Linked DNA regions of Nothobranchius furzeri. The protein of the gene in region 1 interacts with the protein of each later gene in a biochemical or structural test. Links are inferred from orthologs where the notes say so. Each region holds a gene or a part of one and is shown on either strand. Other genes may lie near its edges.

Region 1 (4,175 bases):
CAAAATGTTGCAGTTGAGAAGGAAGAGTAAATAAGCAGAACTCGTGGAAAAACTGGTCTTAATGTTACCGTTTTGGCCTGAGTTTCCACCAGTGAGAATCTGCATTTCATATTTTATTTAAAGCTTGAAGGGAACAGTTTCTGGGTCTGACGTTTTGTTACACAAGCTTTCACTAAATGTTTTCTTCATTTGGGAAGGTTTTTCTGCAGCCCCCTTTCTCGTCATGTTTCGTTTATTTTGTCTCTTGTCTGTTATCATTGTATCTCTAGTTTCTCTCTTGTGTTTTTTGTTTTCTGCCATTCGTTTCTTCTATTTTCATCCTCTTGTTATTCTAGGATCCCTGACTCCAGTTCCTCCTCTGTTTATCTTACTTCCAACATGACAGGCCAAACAGATCTGCTCATCTCAGTCCTTTCAGAGACCAGCTACTGTCCTTTTCTGTTATCTGTTGGAGCCAAACTAACAGCACCTTTCCCTCACAGATCTCCAGCCAGTAACATACTGTGAGCCAGCGTTCTGGTGCTCCATTTCCTACTACGAGCTGAACCAGCGAGTAGGGGAGACCTTCCACGCCTCACAGCCCTCGTTGACGGTGGATGGCTTCACAGACCCCTCAAACTCTGAGCGTTTCTGCCTCGGATTGTTGTCCAACGTCAACCGCAATGCAGCAGTGGAGTTAACACGCAGACACATCGGTGGGCATCAGCTCTGATTATAACAGATAAAACTGTCTGGTTAACGTCTCTGTGACATCCGTGCTTCTGCGTTTCTCTCTCTCAGGGCGTGGTGTGCGGCTGTACTACATCGGAGGAGAAGTGTTTGCAGAGTGTCTCAGTGATAGCGCTATCTTCGTCCAGAGCCCCAACTGTAATCAGCGTTATGGTTGGCACCCCGCCACTGTCTGCAAGATCCCCCCAGGTGTGTGTCCAGCTGATGGAGTCAGCAGAATCCTTTATAGACTGTGATGAGTTGGGAAAAGATACAGATGAGAGCGTAGAGTGATGGATGGAAACTGGGTTGGTAGCTTGATCCCCAGCTGTGTTGGAAACTATGTAGTGTGTATTCAGTTGTCCATGCATTTATTACTTCCTATTGTAATTCAGTGCTCTTTGGTATCTCCTCCTCCACCCTCGCTTGACTTCAGCTTGTGCAGAACGTAGCAGCTCGTTTCTTGACTGGCACCAGGCAGCGAGAACACATCACACCAGTTTTAGCAAATCTCCATTGGCTCCCCATCCATCTCCGTATAGAGTTTAAGATCCTGGTTTTTGTATTTAAATCCCTCAATAACTTAGCACCTAGCTACTTGTCTGAGCTCATTCACCCGTATGTCCCTACAAGATCCCTCCGATCAGCCGACCAGCACCTCCTACATGTCCCTAGCTCTCGCTGTAAATCCCGCGAGGAGCTCGCCTTTTCGGTTTGTGCACCGAAGCTCTGGAACCACTTGCCCCTCCTGATCAGACTCTCTTTCCCTTTTTAAGTCTCGTTTAAAAACTCACTTTTATTCGTTGGCTTTTAATTCAGTCTAACTTATTCTCTTTCTCCTTTTCTTTTCGAGTTGGATTACTCGATTTTAATGGTTTTAGTTTTTATTTTTGATTGTTTTTATTGTGTGTTTTTGTTCAGCACTTTGGTCGGCTCTCATGCGGTGTTTAAATGTGCTATACAAATAAACTTGGTATGGTATGTAGTGTGTATGGTCAGGAACCTTTTGTGAGAATTAGGTGTTATTAGATGTCTAGATGAATTAAAACTGAGTTATTCTCAGCTGCTGTGCTGCTTATATATCATCTTATCTGTGACATCACCTCTGTCATCATCAACTCAAGGATATCTCCTCTGACTCATCTCTCCTCTCATTAAAAACACAGACATGAGCTCTTTATTTACCAAAGGAGATGTTTGCTCAGGTCCATGTTGGAGTTTGTAGGTTCTTACGCGAATGTTTCATCTCCTAAGTTACTTTCAAATAAGCAGTCTTCTACAGACCGGTTCACACGGCAGGGTACTTCTTGACCCAATTCTCCCCTTCTGAAGATCCCACGGCAGATTACTGTGATGGCTCTGAAGATAATCTTATCGGATATCCTTGGCACTTGTTTAATTTTGGTGGTGGTGGTGGTGGGGGGGGGGGGGGATGGGGGGGGGGAGAAGAAAATATAATTTCTATAGCGCCTCTCAAGATAAAAATCACAAGGTGCTTCACAAAAACAAAAAATGTAAAAAATATGGAAAATGATTAAAAATATATTTTAAATGAGCAAAAATAGACAATTGTGATTAAAAAAAGGTTAAGAAAGAGAGAGAGTAACTAAGAGCATAAAGAGAGAGTGGTGAAGAAGGTCATACAAAAGCCAGCTTGAACAAGTGAGTCTTCAGCTGCTTTTTGAAGGAGACCACTGAATCCCCTGATCTCAGGCTCAGGGGGAGAGAGTTCCAGAGTCTGGGGGCCACAGCAGCAAATGATCTGTCACCTTTGGTCTTTAGCCTGGTGCTGCACAACCAGTAGGCTTTGACCACTGGACCTCAGGGACCTGCTGGGGGTGTAGGGACAAAGAAGATCACCAATGTATGATGGTGCTTGTCCATGTAAGGCCCTATAGACCAGAACCAGGATCTTGAAATGAACCCTGAAGTTGACTGGCAGCCAGTGAAGCTGGAGGAGAAGCGGGGTGATGTGGGTGTATTTGGAGAACTTGGTCAGAAGCCGAGCACAGGCATTCTGAACCACCTGTAGATGGTTCAGGGAAGTTCTGCTCAGACACGTGAAAAGAGAGTTACAGTAGTCTAAGAGTGAGGAGATGAAGGTGTGGATAACTGTCTCAAGTTCAGAGCGGGACAGAATGGGACTCAGCTTAGCAATGTTCCTGAGATGGAAGAAGGAAGAGCGAACAAGAGAACTGACATGAGAGTCCAGGGTGAGAGCTGGGTCAAAGGTCACTCCAAGATTCCTGGCAGAGGGTTTGGTGTGAGAAGCAAGCTGACCAAGAGAGTCTCTGACTTTGGGAACCAGCTTGTCTTGGGCACAGATGAGGATCTCAGTCTTATCTTCATTCAGCTGTGGAAAGCTCCCAGCCATCCAGGTTTTGATAGAGTCTAAGCAGGTGTGTAACAGCTGCAGCTTAGACATCTCATGGGGCTTAAAGGAGATGTACATCTTCGTCTTCGTCTTCCTCCGCTTATCCGGGTCCGGGTCGCGGGGGCAGCATCCCAATTAGGGAGCTCCAGGCCGTCCTCTCCCCGGCCTTGTCCACCAGCTCCTCCGGCAGGACCCCAAGGCGTTCCCGGACCAGATTGGAGATGTAACCTCTCCAACGTGTCCTGGGTCGACCCGGGGGCCTTCTGCCGGCAGGACATGCCCGAAACACCTCCCCGGGGAGGCGTCCAGGAGGCATCCTGACCAGATGCCCAAACCACCTCAACTGGCTCCTTTCGATCCGGATGAGCAGCGGTTCTACTCCGAATCCCTCCCGAATGTCCGAGCTCCGCACCCTATCTCTAAGGCTGAGCCCGGCCACCCTACGGAGGAAACTCATTTCGGCCGCTTGTATCGGCGATCTCGTTCTTTCGGTCATTACCCAAAGCTCATGACCATAGGTGAGGATTGGGACGTAGATCGACCGGTAAATCGAGAGCCTGGCTTTCTGGCTCAGCTCCCTCTTCCCCACGACAGATCGGCTCAGCGTCCGCATCACTGCAGACGCCGAACCAATCCGCCTGTCGATCTCCCGATCCCTCCTACCCTCACTCGTGAACAAGACCCCGAGATACTTAAACTCCTCCACTTGAGGTAGGACCTCTCCCCCGACCCGGAGGTGGCAAGCCACCCTTTTCCGGTCGAGAACCATGGTCTCAGATTTGGAGGTGCTGATCCTCATCCCAGCCGCTTCACATTCGGCCGCGAACCTACCCAGCAAGAGCTGAAGGTCAGAGCTGGATGAAGCTAGGAGGACCACATCATCCGCAAAAAGCAGAGACGAGATTCTCCTGCCACCAAACTCGACACACTCCACACCACGGCTGCGTCTAGAAATTCTGTCCATAAAAGTGATGAACAGAACCGGTGACAAAGGGCAGCCCTGGCGGAGTCCAACCCTCACTGGGAACAGGTCCGACTTACTACCGGCTATGCGGACCAAACTCACGCTCCTCTGGTAAAGGGACTGAATGGC
Region 2 (4,697 bases), on another chromosome or scaffold:
TCTTACAACAGATAAAAGGTTTTATTTTTAAATGAGCGTTTTTTTATCTGGAGTTCTGCTGAAAATTATTGGCTTATTGCTCTCAGTTTTACTTGGTAAAAAAACTGACTCATTTTTCAGAAATATACAAATTTCCGTTCGACTTTCCTGCCTTGTAACATGCCGAATGCATTTCGTCGCCGTCTGAGAAGCCGTGATACATTTCCCGACTGCATTGCAGCTGGACTTGGGCGTTGTGAGCCGGTGGATCTTCACAGGTTGATGGAAGCAGCACTAGATGATTTCCTCGTGATAAAAACCAAACCAAACACCGCCCTGATCGACATTCACCTCCCCAATGAGAAACACGTACCGCAGTTCGGCTGATAAAGTTGCCCGGCAGCAGAGAAAAAAATTATTTGAATAATAAAAAAATTAAATAAAAAATCCCAAAATGAAGAAGCAAACTGGATGACAAAGGAGGAAGTGAGGGCGCCCTGCCCCCTAGTGGCCACCTTTATGTCCATTAGCAAAAACCTTACTGTTGATCAGTGGTTCAGTTGAAAACGAAAAGAATTAAAAAGTCTTTACAGAGACCACAGTATTCTCATCAAAGCACATTTTTAGGTTCTTCGTATAAAAATAGATATATACCACAGTGATGGCCTTTGACGACATGTACTTGCACGTGTTTGCTGCTGCTTCACATGAGATCCACTACATTCAGTGGTTTCCCCGTTTCATCGAGGTGACGCAGACCTCTGAAGAGCCAAGCTATAAATAGTCCGAAAAGGTGTCTGCAGATCAGTACAAAAATATGGGTTTACATCCATCTTTGTTCTCCTTTCATGTGCTCACTCGTCCAGCAGAGCCTACGCCTGCACTTCTCTTATGATAATTAAATCCACAGTGGCTGGAAATGTCTTCAGCAGAGAGACTGCATAAGCATGATCAATATTCACAAAGCTGTAGCCGTTTGCCTGCAAACAGAAAATAAAAAATGAATAACTCGAAGCAGCTGTTGCAAATTAGGCAGATGCTGATCACAAACACGTCAGACCTGAATTATTTTATCTCCAGGCTGAAGAATCTTGGATGCTGGTCCTTCTTGCTGAACCCTCGTCACAAATATACCCTGCAAGTCACACAACAAAGGACGATATAATCAGTGGTTTCCATTAAATGATCTTTAATGGTAATGTTCGTAAAAGAAAAATAATACTAAATCAATGTTACATTATCATCGGGGCGGAAGGGGTTTCCCCGGCCCCCAACTCCTCCCGATATGCTGAAACCTAGCTCTGGATTCTTCTCTACCGTCACATGGATCTGAAACACACCCACTCACTTTAATTAGCCGTAGTTTCACACTCACACACACTTAATTACATAACCACCCTACATTAGGAGTAAAAATATGAAGTGAAGGGCTGAGTGACACAGATGTGACAGAAAGATGAAACAAGTCTTAATTGTGAGCGGAGCTCGGCTTACAGCAAAACTGGGAGCACTGCTCCCCCCGCGTGGTGCGTTTAGTCATCATCACACATTTAAAATGTAAAAATCTAAGAAAATCAAAGTTTCAATAATAATTTTACGACACTGCTATAAAGGATGCATTCATTGGCGACAAACGTTCAACATCGAAATTCTCCAAGAATGAAAAGTTCTAGTAATAAATACTACCGCCAGAAAGCATTCATTGGCTTCTAGATCGGTAACTGCAGCTGTTTTTTGCTACAGGTTTGTATTAAGAGTTATGGCTGCTGGACAAAAGCTGTCCTCTAGTCTAGAAGTGCCTGCCTGATGGTAACAGCTGAAACCAGGCACGGCCAGGGTGGGGGTGGGGGGTCCTTCAAGCTGCTTTTTGCTTTGCTGAGGTAACAGGATTGTGCGATTGCATCTAAAGACAACACCCACTGCCCTCTGTTCTTTTCAATAGACGATCAGAATGCTCCACTGGGGGTGGACGCGCCATCTCACCAGTGGCCCAAAGTGCTTCTGTATGCATTTCCTCCGGTGGAGATGATTCCTCCAATACTGGAGAGGGTACGCGAACACAGCCTGACCTTAATTCTGGTGGCCCCTCGCTGGCCTGCAAAGTCATGGTGTGCAGAGATAATCAGCTTGCTGGTGGAGGAGCCCCGGGAACTCCCTCACTGTCCCGATCTCCTGTCGCGGGCGCAGGGAGAGATACTTCATCCATGCCCAGAGTTGTGGATGTTGCATGTCTACCTGATGAGAGGTCCAGCTTATTAGCCAGGGGTCTCCCTTTGGCTGTGGTTGAGACTATTCAGTGCGCTAGGGCACCATCTACTAGAAGCTTATATATTTTAAAAAAGAGAGCTTTTGAGAAGCGGTGTCTGAACAGGAATATTGCTCCATTCCAGTGCCCCATCGTAGACGTATTAACGTTCTTACAGGGACTGGTGGAGGGGGGTCTATCTTTCTCCACAACCAAGGTTTACTTGGCTGCCATTTCTGCTTGCCATGTTGGCATTGATGGAGTGACACCAGGTGCACACCCCTTAGCGATTCGTTTCCTGAAAGGGGTCCGCAGACCTAAGAGCTGTGCTGGATGCTCTGTGTGACGCAACGTTTGAACCACTTGAGTCGGTTGATATAAAAATCTTACACACAACGGCTCTGCTTCTTGCACTGGCGTCTGCCAAACGTGTCGGCTACCTGCATGCACTTTCAGTGCACCTGTCATGTGTGCAATTCTCTGCTGGGGGCTCTAAGGTCACATTAGGACCTAATGCACCTCTAAAGACACGGCTGTTAAAATCCTGAAATTTGCAGATGACACCACTGTCATTGGGCTCATCCGGGATGGTGATGAGTCTGCTTAACGAGAAGCTGAGAGGCTGGTGGTCTGGTGTAGTCAGCACAATCTTGAGCTTAACACCCTTAAGACTGTGGGGATGGTCGTGGATTTTAGGAAGCTTCCCACGGTGCTGCCCCCCCTCACAATATCCAACAGCCCAGTGTCAATGGTGGACTCATTCAAGTTCTTGGGAACTATCATTTCCAGGGATCTGAAGTGGGAAACAAACATCAACTCCATCCTCAAAAAGGCTCAGCAGAGGATGTATTTCTTACGGCAACTAAGGAAGTACGGCCTATCACAAGAGCTGCTGATCATCTTCTATACTGCTGCAGTCGAATCCATACTTTGCTCATCCATCACTGTCTGGTTTGGGTCAGCCACAAAAATGGACAAATGCAGACTACAGCGTATTATTAAAACAGCAGGAAAAATTATTGGTGCCCAGCTGCCCTCTGTCCAGGAACTGTACATCAGCAGGACCAGGAAAAAGGCACTGAATATTGTCCAAGATGCCACACATCCTGCATCTACTCTCTTCCATCTCCTCCCATCTGGCAGATGCTATAGATCACTGTACACAAAAACTACCAGACACAAGAAGTTTCTTTCCTTCAGCCATTTCTCTCCTGAATCTGTAGATTCTTTTACCATCTTTTTATTATAGTTTTTAATACTTATTCAGTATGCTTATGGATATGTGTGTGTGTGTGTGTGTGTGTGTGTGTGTGTGCGCGTGGGTATGTATATATGTGTGTGTGTGTAAATGAACATGTGTGTGGGTATACATGTTATGTGTTTTTAGGTATTTTTATTCTCATTTATTGTGGTTGTTGTCTGTTTTAGAAAGCGAACATCTACCGAAGACAAATTCCTTGTAAATGTACTTTTACTTGGCCAATAAATCTGAAATCTAATCTAATCTAAATCTAATGCTTCTCATCTCCCAAAAGTGCTTCCATCTAGTTACAGGTCCATGATCATTGAGCTGGCTAGTTTTCATCTGCCTCCTTTTGCTTCAGAGGAACAAAGTAGGCTTCAATTTGTGTGCCCAGTGCGCGCTTTACATATCTACATTAACCGTACTCAGAGTATGCGGTTATGTGATCAGCAGCTTATGTGTTTAGCCAATCCAGCCAGAGGTAAAGCTCTGTCCAGACAAAGACTCTCCCATTGGGTGGTGGAGGCTATTTCTCTTGCTTATGTCAGCAAGGGTCTCCATTTACCTCAGGGAGTGAGAGCTCATTCGACCAGAGGTGCAGCTGCATCCTGGGCCCTTTTCAGAGGAGCCCCAGTGGGCGACATCTGAGCTGCTGCCAGTTGGGTCTTCACCGCACACGTTTACTCAGTTTTACCGTTTGGATGTGACTGCACTGTCGCTGGCTCACTCCGTTTTGTCTGCTGGATCACAAGGCTCACACTAAAGCATCGCCTTTTGGGCCTGATTTTCTGATGACTGCTCTGCGGGGCGTGTATATATGTCCCATACTATATGTGTTGTACAGAGTGAATCGACTGAAAGGGAACGTTAGGTTATGCATATAACTGCTGTTCCATGAAGGAGAGGAACGAGGTACAACATCTTTGTTGCCCCGCCATGCAGCTGGGCTCAGTGAAGAGCGGTCATCGAACTGGAGCATGACGTGTGAGTAGGGGTATTTATAATTTATATTTGTTCTTCTTCTGGCTCTTGGAGAGTACAGACACTTTTTGCCTCTTCTCCTCCCTATCTTATCCCAAGGCTCTTTGTCTATCATTGGGTAGACGGCGCTTCTGCATTTTTCCTGGAAACTGGAAATTATTAAAAATGGACCTGGTCAGTTGGTCTCTCAATGCGATTGTCAAGATTTTTTCAGCGATGAGAATGGGAGAAGGGGCTCCCGGGTGACCC
Region 3 (4,175 bases), on another chromosome or scaffold:
AAAAAAGCTGTGTATGGCATTGAGTTGAGGTTGGGGGGAGGGGTTTTGCTAAAACCGTAATAAATAAGGTTGTAATAAATACCGTTGGAAGATAATAATACTGGTTGCATTGCAGTATACATAGAAACACGATTTGTAAATATGAATAAGGTGCAGTGTCCATGTTGGTGAGTGTCGGTGGAGCAGTTACCTTTTCATCAGGGTGGAGGTAGAGCCTGTGCTGCACTAGCTGAGCCAGCGTCCTGCTTCTGCATGACAGAAACGACATTAGGTCCATAGTGTTCATGTGAAAAATCAAAAATTTTATTGTAATCTGACCAATTTGCTTTTGTTTCCACAGTCCAATAAAGTCCCTGTTGTGCAGCCGTCCCATGCAGTCCACCCTCTCACACCACTGATCACGTACAGCGATGAGCACTTTGCTCCAGGCTCCCATTCAGGCCATCATCCCCAGGATGCCAGCAACAAACAAGGTAAGAGACACGCCGACACAACGTCGTTTTGTGTTGTCTGAGTCGTCTCGAACTGTGAAGGAAAAAGCACCCGAGTCGGTCTCTAATCCAGCATCTGACTGGGATGCAACTGTTTGCAGGAACATCAACAGATTGTTAGTTGGAACTTCAATAAATTTGTACAAATGATCCTCGAGGAAGAAGTTTGAGTACGGCAGTGTTATGTTGGGCGAACAGAAGGGAACTGCCCTGCTAATGTTTCTTGTGGCGGTTTAGTTCTAACGTGTCTCGATTTGCTTACAGTTTACCCCGCATGCCATTTCAAGTTTGTTTACTAACTGCTCCATCGTATTGAGTTCTTTGAACTTTGACTCTCAAAAACTACATTGAGAAGGGTTTGAGACGGGTTCCAGACAGCTGTGATGACTCTAATAGGAGTAGAAACTAGTCGTGGCCCAAAACCAGCGACATTTTTCATCTGTGACTGAAGGAGTACAAAAACACGGAGCAAATGTTTTATTCATGGATGGAAATGGCAGGAAACGTGGGTTTAGAGGTGGCGACCGCATGAAGAGGTGGAGGAGAATGAGAATGTTATAAAGTCTCTAAAATACATGAACACATTCACTATCGTGGGATCGGATACATGGGTGTAATGGTGGCATGATACGCCAGAACAGAGCTACTCCCTCTGCTGTCCTGGCGGGGAACTGCTTTGCAACACTCCCCAGGTGACGGAGAAGTCCGAGAGCAAAACATCTCTGTCAATGAGTGTGTCTCTGCCTAGCGGAGCTGACGGAGATGTATAAATCAGGCTTAAGGGCTGCAAAATGCTTGGTTTTAACAGTGTGTATATACATGTTTATTATGACTGTCTCCTGTAATGTGCGTTGATTTAAAATGTTGTTTGTGCGCATCCCCCGAAATTAACGAGACGCGTTCGAACGCTGCAGTATACGAGTAACCAGTAGGCGGAGTTAACTAAACATGTGAGACACCCACCATGGTTTAGAGGACTTCCATACTATCTATGATACCGCTGCTGTCGTTTTTCCTGCCGGGATCTCCAAATGAAACAGATCTTTTCTATTGACACGATGTTTGTTTCGAACAAACCCTGGACTCTATCGGTCTGAACTGAGCCCCCTAACGAAGTCCTTCAGTACTACGTGCAGCGCAGTGCCGTGCAGCAGCAAGCATGTGAAAAAAGACGCAGCCTGCGCCAAAACACGTAAAAAGCAAGCATAACCCGACCCTAAGACTCTGGCTTTACGTGTCAAATCTGGGTGCCTGTTTTAAGAGAACACCTCCATAATCCCAGATCATGAATCAAGCTTAAACAAATGAAATCTAAAATGTGGTCTCGCTTTTACAGAAGCTCCAATCTACCATTCATGGACACAATTTTCACTTTAGAAGTGGGGGGGACAGTGGGGGGGGGGGGGGGGGGGGGGCTTTACAGTATGCTCTAATGGGAAACCGGCTTCAACACAAACGGTTGTTTTCTGCTTGGTCCTAGAGCTCAACCAGTGTCAATTTAATATAGCGTAATATTGTTTTTGGATGGTAAAAAGTGCAGGGGTCAAAACTTGACTTTGGAAAAAGTGTGTGGGGGGGGCATGTCCCCCCTGTCCCCCCCCCCAAAATTACGTCCATGCTACCATTGATCAAACTCGTACGTTAAAGCCATTATTGGATGATGTGCAGTTTATGCTAAAAATATTGGAAGTCATCTCGGAGGCAGCACAAGTATTCTTTTTTTAAACGACTGTCAACACCGTCAGGAATCCGTTGAGACACACACACAGAAATATGTCGGAGCGAAGTCACCCTGCCACCATCTTTTGCTGTGAAGTCATTTGAAGCAGCCGGTGGGATGTCGCGCTGAGCTCGTTGCCCTCTCCCTCTGCACTCGTTGCCTCTCAGGAATAACATCAAGCTGCAGCTCTGACAGCTGCAGAAGAGCTCCTCTGCCGTTTGGACGAGCTCCTTCAGCCCTGCGCAGCTGGAGGCTTTGGCAGCATCTCACTGATGCTAGCAGAGGAGGAGAAAAATTCAAAAAAAGACGTGGGCCAAGCGTGGTTTTGTCCCGCACCTTTTCACTTTCCTCCGCTTTCTTCTCCTGCAACTGTCACTTGAAAAGGATGAGGAGTACGAGGAGATGTAGGTGATGATGATGAGAAGGATGGGAGGCTCTGAGGGACCGGCTATAAATAATCCTACGGAACGAAGCGTGAATGTATGCGGTGCAGGGAGATGAAGGGAGCGGGACACGTAAAGAGACAACGCTCCACATCTGCAAAGCTTCTGAAACAGATGAGAGCTTTATTGTAATAGATGCATAAAAGGACTAACAGGCAACACAACAACAAATGCACCCGTCTTTTTCTGTGTGAAATTTTGCTTTTCACAAAAAAAGACGCAATAATTCCCCCGTTGGCAACTCCTTGATCTCTGCACTCACAGCCTAACAGAAATCCATGTCCAAGCTATCCAGTTGCAGAATTAGCTACAAATAATTTCCCCAGGCTGTGTGTGTGTGTGTGTGTGTGTGTGTGTGTGTGTGTGTGTGTGTGTGTGTGTGTGTGTGTGTGTGTGTGTGTGTGTGTGTGTGTGTGTGTGTGTGTGTGTGTGTGTGTGTGTGTGTGTGTGTGTGTGTGTGTGTGTGTGTGTGTGTGTGTGTGTGTGTGTGTGTGTGTGTGTGTGTGTGTGTGTGTGTGTGTGTGTGTGTGTGTGTGTGTGTGTGTGTGTCAGCAGAGCTAAGCCGAAGATGCTTAAAATGAAATCTCTCCCGTTCTTTTTTCCCCTTCCACAGTCCCTCTCGCTCTTTCTTCTCTCCTAATATCGACCAATAGCTGCTGTGCTTCCTTTAGTGGGCTCAGACTTTGATCTGCTCGTTAATTATGAAAAACAATCATGGATTTTCTCATTATGAGCTCTAATATGCACAGGGCTGCTGCGTGGGATGGAAGGTCGAGCAGAGGGGGGTGGGGGTGTTTGGAGAAAATAAATAAAATAAAGACGTTTTGTTTGGGACGTGTGAACATGAAGGGGCGAATAATTAGGCGTCATACACGTGTGAGCGACAAGGTTAACGCATCAGGGTGCTCTTTTCCTCCCCCCCACTGCTTCGCCACTCACCTGCCTCCCTTCTGCCCTCCTCAGGAGGGCCCTAAAGGAGTGTTAGGTGGTGGATTAGCAAGCGGGGAGCCGAGCTATCCGTGCTACGAATCCAGCGACGCAACATTGGCTTTGGAGATATAAGCCTCCCACCCGGCCTGCCTCTCGGAGGAGGGAGGCCCCTTCAGACCACGGCTTGGAGAGAGGAGGGGGAGGAAAAGATGGAAGCAAGGAGAAAAGGATGGCTCCAGCAGGGATTAGAAGACGGTGCTAATCTGGAAGCATTTGCCCTCTTTTTTTTTTCTTTTGTACACACAGGCGCGTGAACAGCTACATCACAAATCTGCATGTCCTTTTAAAAGTGGGCAAAACCGGTTGCTTCAAGTCAGAAAAGCAGGAAGTTGAAGCAGATGTTTGTCATCCTGCAGCACTGTCACAAAAATAGACCTCTTGACCTTGAAGCCCAGTAGGAGCTGGAAATGGAGGAGCTTAGTCCTGGCAGAGGAGTGGGTTAATACCAGGCCAACAGGAAGACCGCTGGAAGAGACCATTACACACAGGAAGGAACAGAGTTAGGAAAAATGATCATTTACCGCAGATTAT
Region 4 (4,175 bases), on another chromosome or scaffold:
TTGATGTATGTTTGTTAGTGTGACTATGTATTTGTGACAAAAACAAATAAAGTTTGTTAAAAAAAAACAGCGCGAGACTCAGAAGAGACCAGAGACGCTCCTTTCTGCTGGGAGCACACGTGACCACAAAGTCAACACTTCATAGGAATGCTTGAAATAATTTGAAAGGCTTGAATCGCATTTGGCACTTTTGAGATTTTAATTCATTTCATTTTTAAAAAGTGTTGAAACTAGCTGAAAATAGTGAAATCACAATGGCATTTTAGATCATTTTGAGCAATTTATGTATGTTTTTAATTCTGGCAAAGGCACAAGTCTCCTGCATAGATAGTAAACGTTCATGTCAATAATAGAAACAAAAAAATGTTCAAATGTGAGAAAGAAGCTGTTGTTTTCCCACTCGTTTACTTATTTATTTGTTTATTTTGGCATCCTCTGTCTTAATCTGGATTTACAGCTGGATCTCAAAGGTTCAGTCAGCATGCAGAAAATAGAAATGTACAATATAGTTAAAGGAAGAAAGAAGGAACAATATTTTATTCAGCACCTCTCAAGATAAAAATAAGAAGGCTCTTCATTTGGACAAAAATGTTTTTTTTAAATATCGTAAAATATGATCACCTCAAGGTTGGACTACTCCAATGCAATTCTGTTTGGCATTTCAAAAGCCGCATTATCTCGCCTTCAGCTGATACAAAATGCGACAGCAAGATTTCTGACCAATACTGGCCGTCGGCAGCACATCACTCCCATTTTAGCAAGACTTCACTGGCTTCCTGTGCACTACCGTATACGTTTTAAAATTTTATTGTTTGTTTTTAAGGCACTGAATGGCTTAGCACCACCCTACATATCCGAGTTACTCACTCCTTATGTGCCAGGCAGGACTCTCCGTTCAGGTGACCTACACCTATTAAAGATTCCCCGTCAACGCTGCAAAACCCGTGGTGAACGAGCTTTTTCTGTCTGCGCTCCAAAACTCTGGAATGATCTCCCGCTGCATATCAGACTCTCCTCCTCCATTGGGGTTTTTAAGTCTCACTTAAAGACTTACTTTTATTCTCTTGCTTTTACTACCTAGCTATTTTATCGATGGTTTATTTACACTGTTCTTTTACTGATTTTATTGACTTCTCATTGTTGGTTCTTTGTGTTTTGCTCTAGTTGTTTTATTCTTTTATATTATTCTTTTAACCTTATATGTTTTTACCCCTGTACAGCACTTTGGTCAGCTCACATGCTGTTTTTAAATGTGCTTTATCAAATAAATGGAATGGAATGGAATGGAATGATCAAAGTAAAAGTTGCGATTAAAAATGTGGAGGAAAGGGAACAAGAAACCGAATAAAAAAAAATAGATAGTTAGTGGATCCCAGGGGAAATGCAGTATGGCTGCAAGAGCAGAATGGAGAAGGAAGTGATGAAAAAGAGAAGAAACAAAATAAAATTTTATGCACAGATTAAAACTTTGCTTATTTTTATATTTTCTCTGTGGTCTTGATGTCAAGTTGTTGTTTTTGTTGTTGTTAGCCTCAAGGGCAACATGCCGATTATCACTTGTAAGTCGCTTTGGACAAAAGCGTCTGCTAAATACATAAACATAAAGTATTTTGCATTTTTCTCTTTACAAAATTGTTTATTAATGGTTTAAGTGAGCAATAACTATTCATTTTTGTCTTTTCTTGTAACCTTTGTAATAAAAATATAGATGCACGTTGAAATTTAAACATTTATGGGGTTTTTTCTCTTGCAGGCAAGGTTTACTACTTTAATCACATCACCAATGCCAGCCAGTGGGAACGTCCAGTGGGAGACGGCCGTGGAGAGCCAGATAAGGTGTTGCAATAACAACAACAATAAACTTTAATTACACAAGTTGGATTTTTTTTCTACTATTTAACAGGAAATGTGACATTTAAAATAAACTTGGCAAAAACAAAACATAAGGAAATTTGTTTTCAGTTGAATACTTCCAAGTTTGTGTTGCTGGTTTAAAGTACCCATCAAAGAGACTGATATGGAGGATCTGTTTTATTCAACAGTTTAGAAAATGCTGAAGTATGTTTTCTGTGACTGAATATGAAATAATCCTGATTAGTTGAATCAGTTTGGCTGCACAATGAGTACGTTTACATGCAGCCAATATCCGGGTTATGATCGGGTTAAGGTCGGCATTCGGGTTTCTGAGTTGTTCAGAATAACCCGTTTACAAGCACGAGTTACCCCTAACTTGCATAACCCGATGTAAATGCGGACGTTGGGGCAGCGTCAGGACGTGTGGACTACGTCCAGATGCAATATGCATCATTTCCGGTTCTTCTTGTTCTGGTATCCGTGAAAACAACAAAATTTTTCCCAGTTCGGAAGAGATAGCGACCGTGTTTGTTTGCGCTTTAGTTTCCTCGTCACTCAAAGTGTGGTGCTGTGCCACGACTCGCCATGTTGCTCCCAACTTGTTTACTTCTGGTGTTCTGGCGCATACAAGACGTCTCGCTACTCAAAAGACCAAGATTCCTTGCGAACAGAGCATGCGCAGAACACACGCTTTGATGGGGATATCCCGGTATGCATTTACACGACCAAACATTCGGGTTAGAAAAGGGTTACCCCAGGTGTAGTAACCGGGTTTTTAAAAACCCGGTTATGAGCATATCCGGGTTTCTGGTGGTGTTTACAAGGACCTGCGGAACCGGGTTATTGTGAATATTCGGGTTTTAAAAGGGTTACTGGCTGCATGTAAACGCACTGAATAACTGACTTTGACAAGACAGGCTGTTTATGGAAAAATGATGCATAAACTTTTCAGTCATCTTCTATAACTGCTTCTTTCAAAATGCTTTTGATTTCATGTGTTCAGTGCTTAATGCTTAGTATGAAAAATAAAATGGATCCTTAATGGGTCAGGTGATTGATGATTAGCTCTTTCGATGAAAGTTCTCGGCCATTTTTGTGTTTTTCTTACAGGTCCGCTGCTCTCACCTCCTGGTGAAACATAATCAGTCGCGTCGTCCATCTTCTTGGCGGGAACAAAATATTACACGAACTAAAGATGAGGCCTTGGAGTTCATTCAGAGTAAGTTAGACCAAGCAGAAGAGGAACGGAGGTGTCACTCTGCAGAAGTCTGATCGTTTCATGTCCTTTTTTCCTGCTCAGAGTACATAGAACAGATCAAGTCTGGACATGAATCGTTTGAGTCCTTAGCTTCACAGTTCAGCGACTGCAGCTCAGCCAAGAACGGTGGTGATCTCGGACTGTTTGGCAGAGGTATTAAAACATCACGATCTGGGTCGGACTATTCAGTTTAGTTCTCTGTTTAGATTTGTAGCCATTCGGATCAGTTGGACTTTGTTCCCAGGATAAATGTTTGTGTAGATTTTTATTATTTTTTTAAACATCGAGTGTGTGTGAGAGCAAGGGACAGGTTCAACACTTAACTTGGTTATTTACTAAAACCAACACCTTCTCCCGGTGTTATAGTTTTGCTTTTAACTGTAATACCCCAAAAAGTTTTCCTCTAATAAGTCTGAAGTAACAATAAAATCAAAGTGAAGATTTTTCTGAAAGTCTTAATATAACTGTCTGTAGATGAAAGAAACTGGTTTATAGAGACCAAGATGTTTTGGAAGTCTTATTTGTTTCAGATTGTAAACTTAAAATAATCAGAAAACACAGCTTTTTGTGTGGAAAAATAAAAACTCATTTATAACAAGTAAAAGGGAACGAGACACCAAATGCAACGGCAGGCAGAAACTATCAAATGTTTTATTTTTTCTGTAGAACCCTGGCGGGTGTGTGAATGTTGATCAAATTTGTATTAATTAGTGGTCTGTTGATATTTACACACTGAAAGGGCCTGCATCATGCTATGTTACACCTTCCAGAGCAAAGATAGATGACAAAATTGGCACAATTGAGATGCCTTATTTTTTTTTTATTAAATATGTTATTTTTATGAGCCAAGCTAAGACACTTGGATTTGATGAAACTACACCTCTCCCCATATAAATTCCACAATAGTGCACAGCTACAGACCCAGAGGCCAAGTCCCACCCAACCCCCGGATAATCCTGGGTTAAGCCGGGCGTACACTGTGCGACTTTTTCACTCGTAGCACTCAGCTTCAGCTCAAACTGTACGACTTCCTCACAGGGCAGAGCTCACGTGTCATGCGCTC
Region 5 (4,747 bases), on another chromosome or scaffold:
ATGTAGCTCGGGGGTGACGATATCGCGTTAGCATTCATAAGAGTGTAAAGTTCTGGTGCCTGATAGCGACTGAGTGTTTGTGGGTATTATTGTACACACGTGCATATGAAGACATGACTGTAATAACAGAGGTTCAGTGTGCTCGTAGGAAACGTGACAAAAGAAAACAAATCACATTTCTCTGTATGGCCGATATAGTTGTCATCATCGACGTGACATGATTTACAGGATGCATACGACCAACTAACATGTCGCATTCTCCCACCGGATGTTTGGATCAAAATGAGAACCAATCAGATCTTAGATCAGGTGAGAGCCAGGCGTTTCCCATCATGCCCTAGGTGTTGCAGCCAGTGGAGAGCAGCTGCAGCGAACTGCTCCAACATCTGAGGCCGCCTTCATCTCACGAGGTTATCGTTGCCTACGTAGGCGTGACGTCAGACACAAATCTAACGGGCATGCACCGCGAGCCGATCAACGGTGATCTAATCTGTGCAGAGCTGGCTCATCTCAAACACGGCCATACTTTCATCACAAGCTCCTCCCCATCCAGGAAGTCTTGGATCTGGATCCCTCCTCCCCTGGACTGTAATCACTAACACCCAGGCTCTCCATGTAGCTAGCCGGGACTTTAATCTCCTCCGTTGTGTGGAAGTGTCTGCACTTTAAATAAAACCCAGAAACCAAAAATGGATTTTTGTCTGCAAGAGGAACAGATCCTGAAGAAGAGCTTAATCTGCAGAAATGGTTGGATTTTTCTCTTCTGGACTCTCTAAACTGAGCCGTGACGATGATTTCACTGACTGCTTGTTAAACCACCACCATGACTGGAGTACATTTTCAGATGGATTACTTGTTCAAATGGGCACCATTCCAACTTTTAAACCACAGGATGGACGGGTCAGAGCGGTGAGCACAACCAAAACGCTAACCACTAGCTGAGTACTTATAAAGTTTGGTGGGTGAGAGTCAGGGACAGGCTGGGACAATAATTCAGGCCAGGAAACAGCTCCCATCTCAGCACCTTTACTTCATTTAAGTGGTGTGTGTGTGTGTGTGTGTGTGTGTGTGTGTGTGTGTGTGTGTGTGTGTGTGTGTGTGTGTGTGTGTGTGCGTGTGTGCGTGTGTGCGTGTGTGTGTGTCGGTCTATACATCAAAGTGAGGACCAAATCAATCTTTTTGTTTTACCTACAAACTGAGGACATTGGTAGCAAAGTGAGGACATTTTGCTGGTCCTTACTTTAGGACAATGTCCCAGAGTTCTACTGGTTATTTTTAGCGGTTTGGTGTGACTTGTTAGGGTTAGGAGTGGACTGGTTATGGTTAGAGGTAGGTCTAGGGTAAGGGTTAGGCACAATCCAGTCACTAAAATGAATAGAAGTCAAGGACGGTCCTCACAACGAATGCTAGTGTGTGTGTGCGCGTGCGTGCGTGTAAAACATAATTTTTTTCATGAAGATTAAATGAAGAAGATTTAAGCACATTTTTAAATTGTATTTATTTACACATGAAAATAAATATTTAAGTAAAATAATTAGGGTGAAAATGAGTTAGAACTTCTATTTTAGTTTATTTTATGACAGGAACTTTATTCACGTGATGATGCTGAAGCAGCTCATTTTAAATACTTTCTTTTCCAGGTGAATATGTTACAATCTTTTAATTTGTTCTATTTTGAAGGGCATCCGGTGACAGTGACGTGACTTCAGAAAGGCAGCGTTGGGTGGGCGTGGCTAGGCCGTTGGTCGTGACCAATCAGCGGGCGGCTGCGTGTCTGAGCGGAGCAGCGGTCGCGCGCAGCGGAGCAGAAAGCGGTGCAGCGGCTCCAGCTCGGTCCTCTCCGCGGCTCTCCGTGCCTTCGGCTCCGGGTCGGATGGATCTGTAACCCGCTGAGAGATCAACTCCTCCGCTCTGCGCTTCTTCACATGCGCGGGCTCTTCTCGCCTTTCAGCGGATTAGAGTTGGTTTTTGCTGGATTTTATTCCCCGCCAGAAGCAGCAGGATGAAGTACAAAGTGAGTTCCGCTTCTTTCTGCTTTTCCCGTTAAACGCTGGACGTGGCGTGGTTCTGACTCAGCCCAGAAGCTGTAAGCGTTCAGGTCACTTCTCAACCTCCCAGCGGAAACATCCAGTTAGGTGGAAGTTTTTAAGGGGAGAGACTTGGCAGAGGAAACGCTGCCAGGTCCTTCTGAGCAGGAGCCCTGCAGCCCTGGAGCGCACGGAGGGCACCAGGGGCCAGGCTGGGCCCCCCAGCAGAACCAAGTGAGGGTAAAAGCTCTGAAGCAGGGTGGAAAGCTCAGGTTTGGGTGTTTGGCGTGGCCGACAACACCGCTCAGGTCTGTAATTTAGTGGTTGGATGATGAGAGTTGCAGACTGGAAACCAGTGACGCCATCCAGGGCCGTAGTGAATTACACCACAGGCACAAAAACAGTCGGAGCAGAGAAACCAGCACCTCCTCCACTGCGCTGGACCTCGTGTGTAACTAAACCCAAACACTGGCATCTAGTCCAGATGATTAAAATGCTGAAACACGTCTGTGGTTCTGCTTCTGGGGTTCAGTCGTCAATCACAGCCATGAGCTGGAACCCGTTTCTGTGTGAGGTTCTGCTCTGTTTGGGTCTCCTGGTTCCGGTGTCACCCCACGTCATGCTCCGAGCGGACTCACCCTCCTGTTGAGTGCACGGGAGGAGCAGGACGCAGGGGTCAGTGAGTTACAGCAGGTCTCCATGGCAACAGTGATCATCATAAACAGGATCAGAGGATTGTGATAAACACGACCCACAGCAGAGCCGTGCACGCTGACATGTTGTGTTTGTAGATATCAGGAGGTTGTTTCCACTGCGCTTATAATAAACACACACACACACACACGCAGGCAGGCAGGCACGCGCGCGCGCGTCATGAAAACACAGCCAGAGGACATAAAAACAGCCACTCAGGCGTCACATCAGCATCATCAGGCTTCAGCTGCTCTGTTCCTAGCGTCCATCGGTCGTGTACAGAAACACGAAGGTGAGATGTTTCCGACAGGTGTTCAGGTGTGACGGGGATCCTCCACGGGTCACATGATCCCCTCCCCGGTAATGAGTCCACTCTGGTGGACACACAAGAGATTGTTGCTGTTTTGTTTTATGAGGTCATTTCTCTAAATCCGGTGTACTTACGGCATCCCTTTACGTTCATTAACATGCAATAATTAAATCTTGAAACCAAAAGTCAGACATTTTATTGTTAAAGTTTTTAAATCCTAAATATTGTGATGTTGTTATTCAACCGTTTGAGACTCCGCCCACCTTGCTTACATAATCCCAGAGGAAAAATCGCCTGGCGTTCGGAATCGGCTGCGTCGGCGTGATTACTGCTAATTCTTGCTAACAGTAGCAGGTCTGCCATGTGGACGTTTTCACGTCTAAAATCAGAATTTCCTAGATAAGCAGACTTTTTAAATTGATTTATCACATTTATCTAAGTTATTTGAGACCAACTGGAATCGGCACGCTAGCTCCACAAGAGCTGGTATCGGCCCTCAGACCAGAATCGGTGCACCTCTGGTTTTTCTGAGAGGTTTGAGCAGATTTCTCTTCCTGATCAGCACTAGAACTTCTGCCGGTCCCAAACTGAAAACAACGCGTCATAAATGGAATTTGGCACGTTCAAAAATGTAAACAGAAAAAGGAGCTGCTGTAAACGTTCAACAGTTCAAATCTCCAGTTTTACAGTTACATGAAAAAGGTTATAATTAAATTTAGTTTGACTTGCAAAGCTTCTAAAGTTTAAATGATGCGTCGGGAGCAGCTTCCTCCAGATCAGACGCTCCCAAACAAAAAAGCCCAGGTCTAACTAACCTAACAGGAAGTATTTATAGAACAGTGACGCTCCGGCTGATTTTATTGGAATGGTATGAAGTGTTGGGATACAACCCTCCCCCCCACCCCCCGCAGAGTTCCTGGGCAGCTGATGTCAGTGCTGCAGAAATAGGAGCGATGAGGTGGACCGTCTGAGCCCGGAATGTGTGTTTTCCTCCGAGTTTCATGGCTGGGACTGCGGGCAGCGGGCCAGCGGCGCTGAAGGAGGGCTGACATTGTTCTGGGGGTGAGGAGGAGGAGGTCCTGAAAGGCTCTGGAAAAAGGAAGTGGTGGGGTGGGGGTGGGAGGTGGAGGGTGAGAATGGGAGCGTTCCAGGCGACGCTTCGTTGTTTCACTTTGTTAATGAAGGTTTTCTTTCCCAGACGTCTGTTTGAGTGTCGGAACAACGAGACGTTTGTGTTGGGATTTGTTCAGCGGAAACCCGTCGTCTCCAGATGACGCCACGGTGGAGGAAAGTGTCTTTTGTTAATGAAGATGTTTAGATGAAGGTTTCCTTGGATTCAGGTGCTGGTTTGATTCATTCGAATCACCAAAACCTTCATCGGGTCCTGAGATCTGGATCAGGACCCGATAAACCACATCCTGGATCCAAGCTGATCTTGGAGATGGGGAGAAGGAGCTCCATCAGCCTGGAGGAGCTCAGAGAGTAGCTGCTGCTCCTCACTGCAGGAGGCAGCTGAGGTGCTTCAGATTCCTCCTGGTCTCTCCTCTCTGGAGGTTCTTCTGGAGCCAGACCCAGATCCCTCTGGGGGGATCCTTAAAACCTGGGAAGAGATTGGGATCCTCCAGGAGGAGCTGGAGGGAGTCTGGACCTCCTTGATCTTGTTTGTGAGGGTTCAGGTGTCCGACGTCCTGATTGAGATCATCATTAGAAAAGCACC
Region 6 (4,175 bases), on another chromosome or scaffold:
CCAATATCCACACTTTATTGAAACAACTCCAGTCTCTAGATTTTTGTAGTATCTGATCTTATTTATACTCTACCTTTAACTTCACATTTTTATGGAAGTCTGTGTTTATTTGCTATCTTAAATTGTATCCTCAGCAGCAAGTACACAGCATGTGCTGCATCTGGAGGTCAAGTCTAACATGAGTTTCTTAACATTTCGTCCAAATGAACCATACGATTCAATATAGGCAGCACTTTTGGCAGTGCTCAGACGTTAGCTCATCAGTCCTGTAGGATGCCAATACCATTTTTCCAAGCAAAGGTCTTTCAGGAAGTTACGACAGGTAAATGCACCTTAAGTAGCTCAAAAATCAATTTTAACCTGACATCCTTTTCAACATTTCTATCTTCCTAAGTAGTTTGGTCACTAAATATGTTTTGGATACAAACAAACTGACTGCAAATCCACACTGGAGGCATTAGCGGTGTGGAACGGCGCTGCTTCACCATTGTAGTCCATGGGTTAACCCAAACTGGCCTGTGGCGCGGAACATTTCAGGCGTAGTCCGGACGTGGCTCGCTGGCCTGCCAGACTCCTCAGGGTCTGGGAACTCTCCTATTCAAATAACCCCGCCCCCTGAGAATTGTAACCGAGCCAATCGGCGCTGAGTAGCGTACGTCACACACCACAACGCCGAGTTAGTCATAAACATGGCGACTGAAGCGGAGTTCGCTCTGGTCTAAATGACTTGAACATCTTTAAAACCACAACAAGTAGAAGCGCTGAAAGCCTTTCTTCTAAAGAAACAAGTTTGCGCCGTCGCCAGACGCCATTTTTGGCTACAGCTAAAAAACGACAGCGTCGCGCGGTACAGTCGGCATTTCCGTCGTTTTTCTGATTGGTTATTTTTGAGCTGTCTAGTCCCGCCCCTCATGTGCCTCTCTGCCTGTGAGTCACCAGAGTCTCTGTGCAGAATTAAACGGAGGACGAGTCTGGCAGGCCAGGCTAGCTAAAGATAGAACTGGGTTGTATTTTTGATGAGCTGCTTCTAAGAAAGTTCACATAGAGCTAGACAGGAAGTCACCCACAGTTTCATTGTAAAACGTCTGGTAATTTTCAAAATAAAAGATAATTGCAGAGATGCGATTTCTTATCTATATGCATTACGTCAATACATGTGACCTTTCCTCCCAGCATTGTTGAGAAGTACAGCCGTGTGTTTTTCATGGCTTTAATCCTGATAGTGGAGAGGAACAACAACATATGACATCAAATGTGATCTCCTCCTTGGCATAAACAAACCGGGACCTTTGAAGTCTGGAGGGATTTTGTGAGTCCGGTGAGGAGGATCACAGACGAGTTGCTCCGCCGCAGAGATTCCCCGGTGTAGATTGACGCACCGCAAAGCACGCGAGTAAACCGTCCCGCTGCCATTCCGCTCCACTGATGCCTTGAGTGTGGATTCAGGGTGTGACGTACCAGCATAATTAACAACACGACACATCTTAAACTCTTCACGTCTAACATCTTTTGTGGTTCTGTGTTTCTCCAGCTTTAAGCCTTGCTCTGCCTCCATCATGTCGTCACGGGTGTTGCTGCGGCAGCAGCTAATGAGGGAACAAGCTCAGGAGCAGGAGAGGCGAGAGGCCCAGCAGCAGGCCTCTGTCTCTCAGCTCCGAGCCTCTGATTCCACTCCAGCCATCTCCGTCAGCCTGGCCACAAACGGGGCCCGCCCTCCTCCTGCTCAGGTGCCTGTGGAGGTGCTGAAAGTAAGGCCGCCTGCTTCTGCATAGTACTCAAGTGTCATTTAAAAAATAATTCGGTGCTGTAACTCATTTAAAAGCGTGGTTCGCTGAAAAAACATGTTTAATGATTGTGACTCACTGAGGTTTTCATTCAGGCCGAACATGAAAGTATTCTGTGATGATAACAGACGGTGAAATGCTTGGATTTAAAAAGTCTCACACGTCTACTTCACACTGACTTGGCGTTCAGGGCCTCGCCGACCTTGACTTGCAAATGTTTTTCCGAGTGCCGCTTGCATCAAATTAAAACTGAACAAGGTGTTGAAATCATGAGAAAGTCACCGCATTCTCCTCTTCTTAGTATTTTATACAGGATGTTCAGAAATCGTACAGGTTTTGGAGTAAAGGTATGTAACAAGTATTGAAACGGTTCAGGTGCAGACCCACTTGGAGAACCCCACCAAGTACCACATCCAGCAGGCCCAGAGGCAGCAGGTGAAGCAGTACCTGTCTACCACTTTGGGCAACAAGGCGGTGACTCAGACCCTCGGCGTGTCGCCGGTCCCACAGTCCAGTTCGGCCCCTGAGGTCGGCCCTTCTGCCAGCAGTGCCCCTAACAGTCCCATGGCTCTGCTCAACATCGGATCCAACAAGGAGGAAGTAAGGGGAATTCCTGCTTTCTTACCAGTGGTTTGATTTCTCCTGTGTGAGTTTCATTTGCTTGTACAGCAGATTGCCCAACGCTGCTGGTCGTTGGCCTTCCTGCAGATCTGCACGTCGTTTTGAGGAAGTTAAAAGTGGATCCCCTTGCTCATTTTTCTTTAATTAGTTTGTTATAGCATGTTAAGCTGGAAGCTCCCACTGCAACGATGCAAGCCTTCTGATCATCACACCCCTGTTAGCCTGTTGTCACAATAGCATGTTAAATGTTGCACCTCCTCCTATTTACTGACCTCCTCGGAGCTCCTGCTTTGGGTTCAGCACTTCTGTTAGAAGTGCTGTGAGTTTTTAGCCTGTTAAAGGCTAAAAACTCACAGCATGTTGCCTTAATGAGAACGAACATTCACCTGTGGGTGTTTGTCTTTCATGTAGATCGACGATGTGATCGACGACATTATTAGTCTTGAATCCAGTCTGAACGATGACATCATTACGCTGATCGACTCAGGCCTGCAGCTGCCCAGCACGGTATGATAAACAACGCTTTTATTTGATTTTCTTTTTGCTACTTCCTCTAAAATTCAGATGTTGGATGACAGAAAACTCCAGGTTTGGTCTTAGTACGTGTTCTAAAGTCGGGGTGCTTTTTCTGTGAATGCACGTCCCTTTTCTGTGAGGAATTCTGAATCTGTGGGAGCAAACATACATTTGTGTCACTTTCTTACTATTTGCCACAGACGTGCTGCCTGGGCGGGGTAAAGCTATCAGAGGGGGAAGTGAGACAAAGTGGATTTTGCTGACTAGATAGTACAGCAGTCGGTTAAACGGTAGTTAGGACAGTCGCAACAGAGGGCCAGAGAGAAAATGAGAATTATGGTGATCCTTTTGGAAGACAAGAAGAAAGTCAGTGAGGTAAATCTGCTCTTTTGCTTTTGGAAAGAACAACAAGCGTCACCCAGCCTTGGTATTCAGGTAGAAAGATTAGATTGTTTGCTGTCCTCGAACAGCTTCAGTTAACTGAAAAGTTTCCGTTCTTATTGCCATGTGCAGCTTTCAGAAGCAATCTGTTCATATTTCAATTTTGGTTTCATTTCCAATCATAAAAGACAATTTAGTTTACACAAAAACCATTTACATAGTTTAGTCCCATCCTGTGTGTGTGTGTGTGTGTGTGCGTGTGCGTTAAGGTTTGGGTTAGGCGCAATCCTGTCACTAAAATGAATTCAATTCAAAGATAATTAATTAGACTTGCTAAGGGGGAGAGGGAGGGAGGGAGGGAGGGAGAGAGAGTGAGAGAGAGAGAGAGAGAGTGCGAGAGCGAGAGAGTGCGAGAGCGAGAGAGCGAGAGAGAGAGAGAGAGAGAGAGAGAGAGAGAGAGAGAGAGAGAGAGAGAGAGAGAGAGAGAGAGAGAGAGAGAGAGAGAGAGAGAGAGAGAGAGAGAGAGAGAGAGAGAGAGAGAGAGAGAGAGAGAGAGAGAGAGAGAGAGAGAGAGAGAGAGAGAGAGAGAGAGAGAGAGAGAGAGAGAGAGAGAGAGAGAGAGAGAGAGAGAGAGAGAGAGAGAGAGAGAGAGAGAGAGAGAGAGAGAGACCCACAATCTGTGTGGCAAAGCAGCCAGCAACGTGTATAAGCAACTTCCTGTTTGGACATTCAGGCTCCCGTAGCAGTTCTCTACATTTATAGCAGCTCTGCTCATGGACTGGTCGATTTAGTGGAATATTAATTTTAACATGTTTTAAATTTGTGTTTGAAAGTTATAAGTAATATAAGTAGCCAGAACATTCTTATGATGGT
Region 7 (3,559 bases), about 17 Mb from region 1:
ATTTTCAGGGTATCCGCAGGTCCTTAAAAAGTCTTAAAAAGTCTTAAATTTGCTTTTCCAAATTTAAGGCCTTAAAAATCCTTCAAAATTAATAATAATCCTTAAATACAGTTTCCAAAGGTCTTAAATGACCAAAGACCCAATAAACAAGATTATTTTTATTTCAATTTTCATGAATTTCTAGTTAGTGTTCAGCATTTTTTGTGTACGATGTTAGCGTAAGCGGAACCATACACATTCAGTTGGTAATGAAAGGGGGCTTTTTTAGATGAACACATTAGCTGTTTAAGCTAGTGCGAGATTGCGTCATGGGGACGTGCAACTTTTATGGTAACTGGATGGCTAATCCCACGTTCGCAACGTGGTTAGCACCGGTTCCAGGCAATAGCTGGAAATTATAGCTTAAATTTAATTTTAAAAAATAGCTTAAATTTGGTCAAAGTGGCCTTAAAAAGGTCTTAAAAAGTCTTAAATTTGGCTCCCTTAAACCTGCAGATACCCTGTATTTTACAACCAGAGAAACACAATAAAGCAACAAAAAATGGGAACATAGGGAAATCTGTTAACTGTTTGTGTTTTTAGGGATTCTTCGAGCTGATACCACAAGATCTGATCAAGATCTTTGATGAGAATGAGCTTGAGGTGACTTTTCGTTTATTTCATTGTGAATTTGTAACATTCAGATAAAAAATGGCAAATTCCTCATCTGCTTTACCCCACAGCTGCTCATGTGTGGCCTAGGAGACGTAGATGTGAAAGACTGGAGGCAGAATACCAAGTACAAGAATGGCTACTGCGCCGAACACATCGTGATCCACTGGTTTTGGAAAGTAAGACAAACTTCCACACCTGGTTGAAGATGAGCCTTGGCTTCAGTCATTTTTCAGGTCTTATTATTGTTGTTTTAGACCGTACTGCTGATGGATGCAGAGAAGCGAATTCGGCTTTTGCAGTTTGTGACGGGAACGTCCCGGGTACCGATGAACGGCTTTGCTGAACTTTATGGTAAGAAAACCTACGTAGTCATAAACCTGGTTCCTGGGTTTGTTTTGATGTTTTCTGTGTGTGATAATACAACTGTACTCAGACTAACATCACACATTCTGCTGAACAAGTCATTTTTAAGTTAAGGTCTTTTCAAATAAGACAAACAAAAAAGGGTCGGACCTGTCATCGTTTCTGTGGAAGATAAACTCGGCTCTGAGATCAGCTACCCGTCTGGAGTCTGAGGCCATGAGAATATCACTAGTGTTGGTTGATGAGCTCTACATCATGACTGAAACCCTTCAAACTGAAAATTTGTGTAAATGCTCTCACAAGTGCTGCTCATCTACCCTTCATTTGCTTTTAGATCTAACACAAATATCTGATGTTTAGGTCTGTAAGTAGCCAGAGCTCCTGGATCAAAATCACGTCTCCTTTCACTCTTGTGTTATACTAGTTTGATGAGATTCAGACAAAAATGCAAACTTTTAAATGTAAGCCAGAGCCATGGTTGGATTTGGGTCTTTTCTGACTTGACCCTTAGAAGTTCTGACTTCAAATGGAATGAACCAACAATCTTTACCTCCTGCTTGTGCTAAATAGTTTTTGCACAACCATTTTGAGTTCAAATGTTTCCTGATGCTTTTATATCCAGGGTCTAACGGGCCACAGCTGTTTACCATTGAGCAATGGGGTACACGTGATAAACTTCCTAGAGCCCACACATGGTGAGTGCTTCTCTGTGGTTCTGTTTTGCAATGGTATTAACGTCTGTGAAAGTGGGCGCTGACGTTTAAATAAGCTAAGTTAAATACTTTTTTTTTTTACATTATTGGCTGCTCTGCTGTTTTAGTTATCTGTCAGGTAGCTGATAAACAGTCTGCACAAAAATGTGTTTTTAGTTTGAGTGTATTTGATGTTTGTTTTTGATTGCACATCATCCAAAGACAAGTTTCTGAACATACATAGGTTTGGATCTTCTAGGTTTGGTTTTGTATTCAGAAAGTAAATTTGATTAGGAAATACTGCCCTTTCTGCTGCATTTGATGGGATTTAGTGAAGATGGAGGCTTTGGAGAATGTCATGCTATTTCTGATGAATTTGTCTTGTTTTACAGCCTCATCTTGTTCCACTTGGCTCATTAAAAACATTACATCTTTGTTATGATTTCAAGGAAACAGCTTTTAAATTAATTCACACTTGAAATCAACTCTAGGCCAGATTATTTGGGAAATAAGAAAATAATAAAACACGTCTGATTGTAATACATTTTTAGTATGTTTTCCTATTGATCATTTTTGGTGGAATCTCATTTAACTACAGATTTGTATGATTCCTGTTTAATTCTAACCCTGTTTTCTTTGTTTTTCCCTCCTAAAGCTTCAACCGTCTGGACCTTCCTCCTTACGAGTCATTTGAGGAACTGAAGGAGAAGCTTAATGTCGCCATTGAGAATACACAAGGCTTCGATGGGGTGGATTAGTGTGCACGCAAGGAAACAACATTACTGTGGTCAGAAAAAAAGCCAGGCAGCATGGCCTGGTGGAAAAAACAAGCTGTGCATCTGAAGGGGATTTTAACCCACCAGCTGTGTGACAGATGAAGGAACCCTTACTTCTTTTCTCTGTTGGTGCTCACGTTAAAAACAGGATGCAAAAATCTGGAGTAACTGAGGTATTTTTTGTCACTCCACGTCTTCTAAAATCAGGTTTTCATCAGGTTTTCATTTTATCTGATTCTAGATTGTTAGTCGCTCAAAGGTGTATGTATGTACTCGTTCTGCTAAAATGCTTTGAAATAGTATAAAAATAACTTTATTCTGTGAAATAATGCAAAGCGATACTGTGAATCAAACTGATTTAGATGTCGTAAACATTCGACCTTAAATAATCTGATCTGAATCAGAATCACTCAACATCAACATCATCATAAAATAATAACAATAATTATTATTAATAATATTAATAAAAAATAACATTAACAACAATAAACAAACTGACAAAAGGGGCTATGGGTTCAACTAAGACCCTCCAACAAGGTTGTCAAGGTTGATATAACAATAATTTTGACTATAAAAGCAAACAGAAATTTTCACAACATTACATATACACATCCATGATCTGAGCCTGCTATTCCATGTAGGGTCACAGGGGCTGGTGCCTGTCTCCAGCAGTCAATGGGCAAGCAGGCGGCGTACACCCTGGACAGGTTGCCAGTCTATCGCAGAGCAACACAAGAGACACGTGGGACAATCAATCAAGCACACACAAACACTCACACCTAAGGATAATTTTAGACAGACCAATTAACCTGACAGTCATATTTTTGGACTCTGGGAGGAAGCAGAAGTACCCGGGGAGAACCCATGCATGCACAGGGAGAAACATGCAGAAACCCTGGACCTTCTTGCTGCAAGGCAACAGCCCTAACATACATCCATAAACACAGTTGAGCTAAATTCTGGTCATTCTGGAAGATATTTATCAGTGAAAAATGTCTTTGATAGTGAGTTTTCCACAATTTTATTTTGAAAATCTCAATGACAGTGGTGTATTTTAAAATGGCTCAGATGCGT

What was found.
Region 2: the proteins of smad3a (region 1) and erbin form a complex in vitro, tested with the Homo sapiens proteins (2 studies listed by BioGRID). The link is inferred for Nothobranchius furzeri from reciprocal best matches to the Homo sapiens genes SMAD3 and ERBIN.
Region 3: the proteins of smad3a (region 1) and lef1 form a complex in vitro, tested with the Homo sapiens proteins (2 studies listed by BioGRID, with this or other methods). The link is inferred for Nothobranchius furzeri from reciprocal best matches to the Homo sapiens genes SMAD3 and LEF1.
Region 4: the proteins of smad3a (region 1) and pin1 form a complex in vitro, tested with the Homo sapiens proteins (2 studies listed by BioGRID, with this or other methods). The link is inferred for Nothobranchius furzeri from reciprocal best matches to the Homo sapiens genes SMAD3 and PIN1.
Region 5: the proteins of smad3a (region 1) and nedd9 form a complex in vitro, tested with the Homo sapiens proteins (2 studies listed by BioGRID). The link is inferred for Nothobranchius furzeri from reciprocal best matches to the Homo sapiens genes SMAD3 and NEDD9.
Region 6: the proteins of smad3a (region 1) and tfe3b form a complex in vitro, tested with the Homo sapiens proteins (2 studies listed by BioGRID). The link is inferred for Nothobranchius furzeri from reciprocal best matches to the Homo sapiens genes SMAD3 and TFE3.
Region 7: the proteins of smad3a (region 1) and nedd4a interact in a test that uses a peptide from one of them, tested with the Homo sapiens proteins (3 studies listed by BioGRID and IntAct, with this or other methods). The link is inferred for Nothobranchius furzeri from reciprocal best matches to the Homo sapiens genes SMAD3 and NEDD4.

Annotation. Positions count from the first base shown.
Region 1 is NC_091749.1:43,537,478-43,541,652, forward strand, and holds part of smad3a (mothers against decapentaplegic homolog 3a), read left to right. Parts: intron 1-482; coding exon 483-695; intron 696-780; coding exon 781-918; intron 919-4,175. UniProt on the Homo sapiens protein: Receptor-regulated SMAD (R-SMAD) that is an intracellular signal transducer and transcriptional modulator activated by TGF-beta (transforming growth factor) and activin type 1 receptor kinases.
Region 2 is NC_091746.1:65,209,078-65,213,774, forward strand, and holds the end of erbin (erbin), read right to left. Parts: intron 1,309-4,697; coding exon 1,216-1,308; intron 1,115-1,215; coding exon 1,040-1,114; intron 960-1,039; coding exon 852-959; 3' UTR 636-851; downstream 1-635. UniProt on the Homo sapiens protein: Acts as an adapter for the receptor ERBB2, in epithelia. By binding the unphosphorylated 'Tyr-1248' of receptor ERBB2, it may contribute to stabilize this unphosphorylated state.
Region 3 is NC_091746.1:81,737,291-81,741,465, reverse strand, and holds part of lef1 (lymphoid enhancer-binding factor 1), read left to right. Parts: intron 1-340; coding exon 341-473; intron 474-4,175. UniProt on the Homo sapiens protein: Transcription factor that binds DNA in a sequence-specific manner. Participates in the Wnt signaling pathway. Activates transcription of target genes in the presence of CTNNB1 and EP300.
Region 4 is NC_091744.1:9,162,887-9,167,061, forward strand, and holds part of pin1 (peptidyl-prolyl cis-trans isomerase NIMA-interacting 1), read left to right. Parts: intron 1-1,753; coding exon 1,754-1,836; intron 1,837-2,964; coding exon 2,965-3,073; intron 3,074-3,154; coding exon 3,155-3,265; intron 3,266-4,175. UniProt on the Homo sapiens protein: Peptidyl-prolyl cis/trans isomerase (PPIase) that binds to and isomerizes specific phosphorylated Ser/Thr-Pro (pSer/Thr-Pro) motifs.
Region 5 is NC_091759.1:25,473,790-25,478,536, forward strand, and holds the start of nedd9 (enhancer of filamentation 1), read left to right. Parts: upstream 1-1,779; 5' UTR 1,780-2,002; coding exon 2,003-2,014; intron 2,015-4,747. UniProt on the Homo sapiens protein: Scaffolding protein which plays a central coordinating role for tyrosine-kinase-based signaling related to cell adhesion. As a focal adhesion protein, plays a role in embryonic fibroblast migration.
Region 6 is NC_091743.1:40,793,436-40,797,610, forward strand, and holds part of tfe3b (transcription factor E3b), read left to right. Parts: intron 1-1,531; coding exon 1,532-1,748; intron 1,749-2,159; coding exon 2,160-2,384; intron 2,385-2,816; coding exon 2,817-2,912; intron 2,913-4,175. UniProt on the Homo sapiens protein: Transcription factor that acts as a master regulator of lysosomal biogenesis and immune response.
Region 7 is NC_091749.1:60,037,905-60,041,463, forward strand, and holds the end of nedd4a (E3 ubiquitin-protein ligase NEDD4), read left to right. Parts: intron 1-582; coding exon 583-642; intron 643-722; coding exon 723-830; intron 831-908; coding exon 909-1,005; intron 1,006-1,639; coding exon 1,640-1,712; intron 1,713-2,364; coding exon 2,365-2,467; 3' UTR 2,468-2,700; downstream 2,701-3,559. UniProt on the Homo sapiens protein: E3 ubiquitin-protein ligase which accepts ubiquitin from an E2 ubiquitin-conjugating enzyme in the form of a thioester and then directly transfers the ubiquitin to targeted substrates. Specifically ubiquitinates 'Lys-63' in target proteins.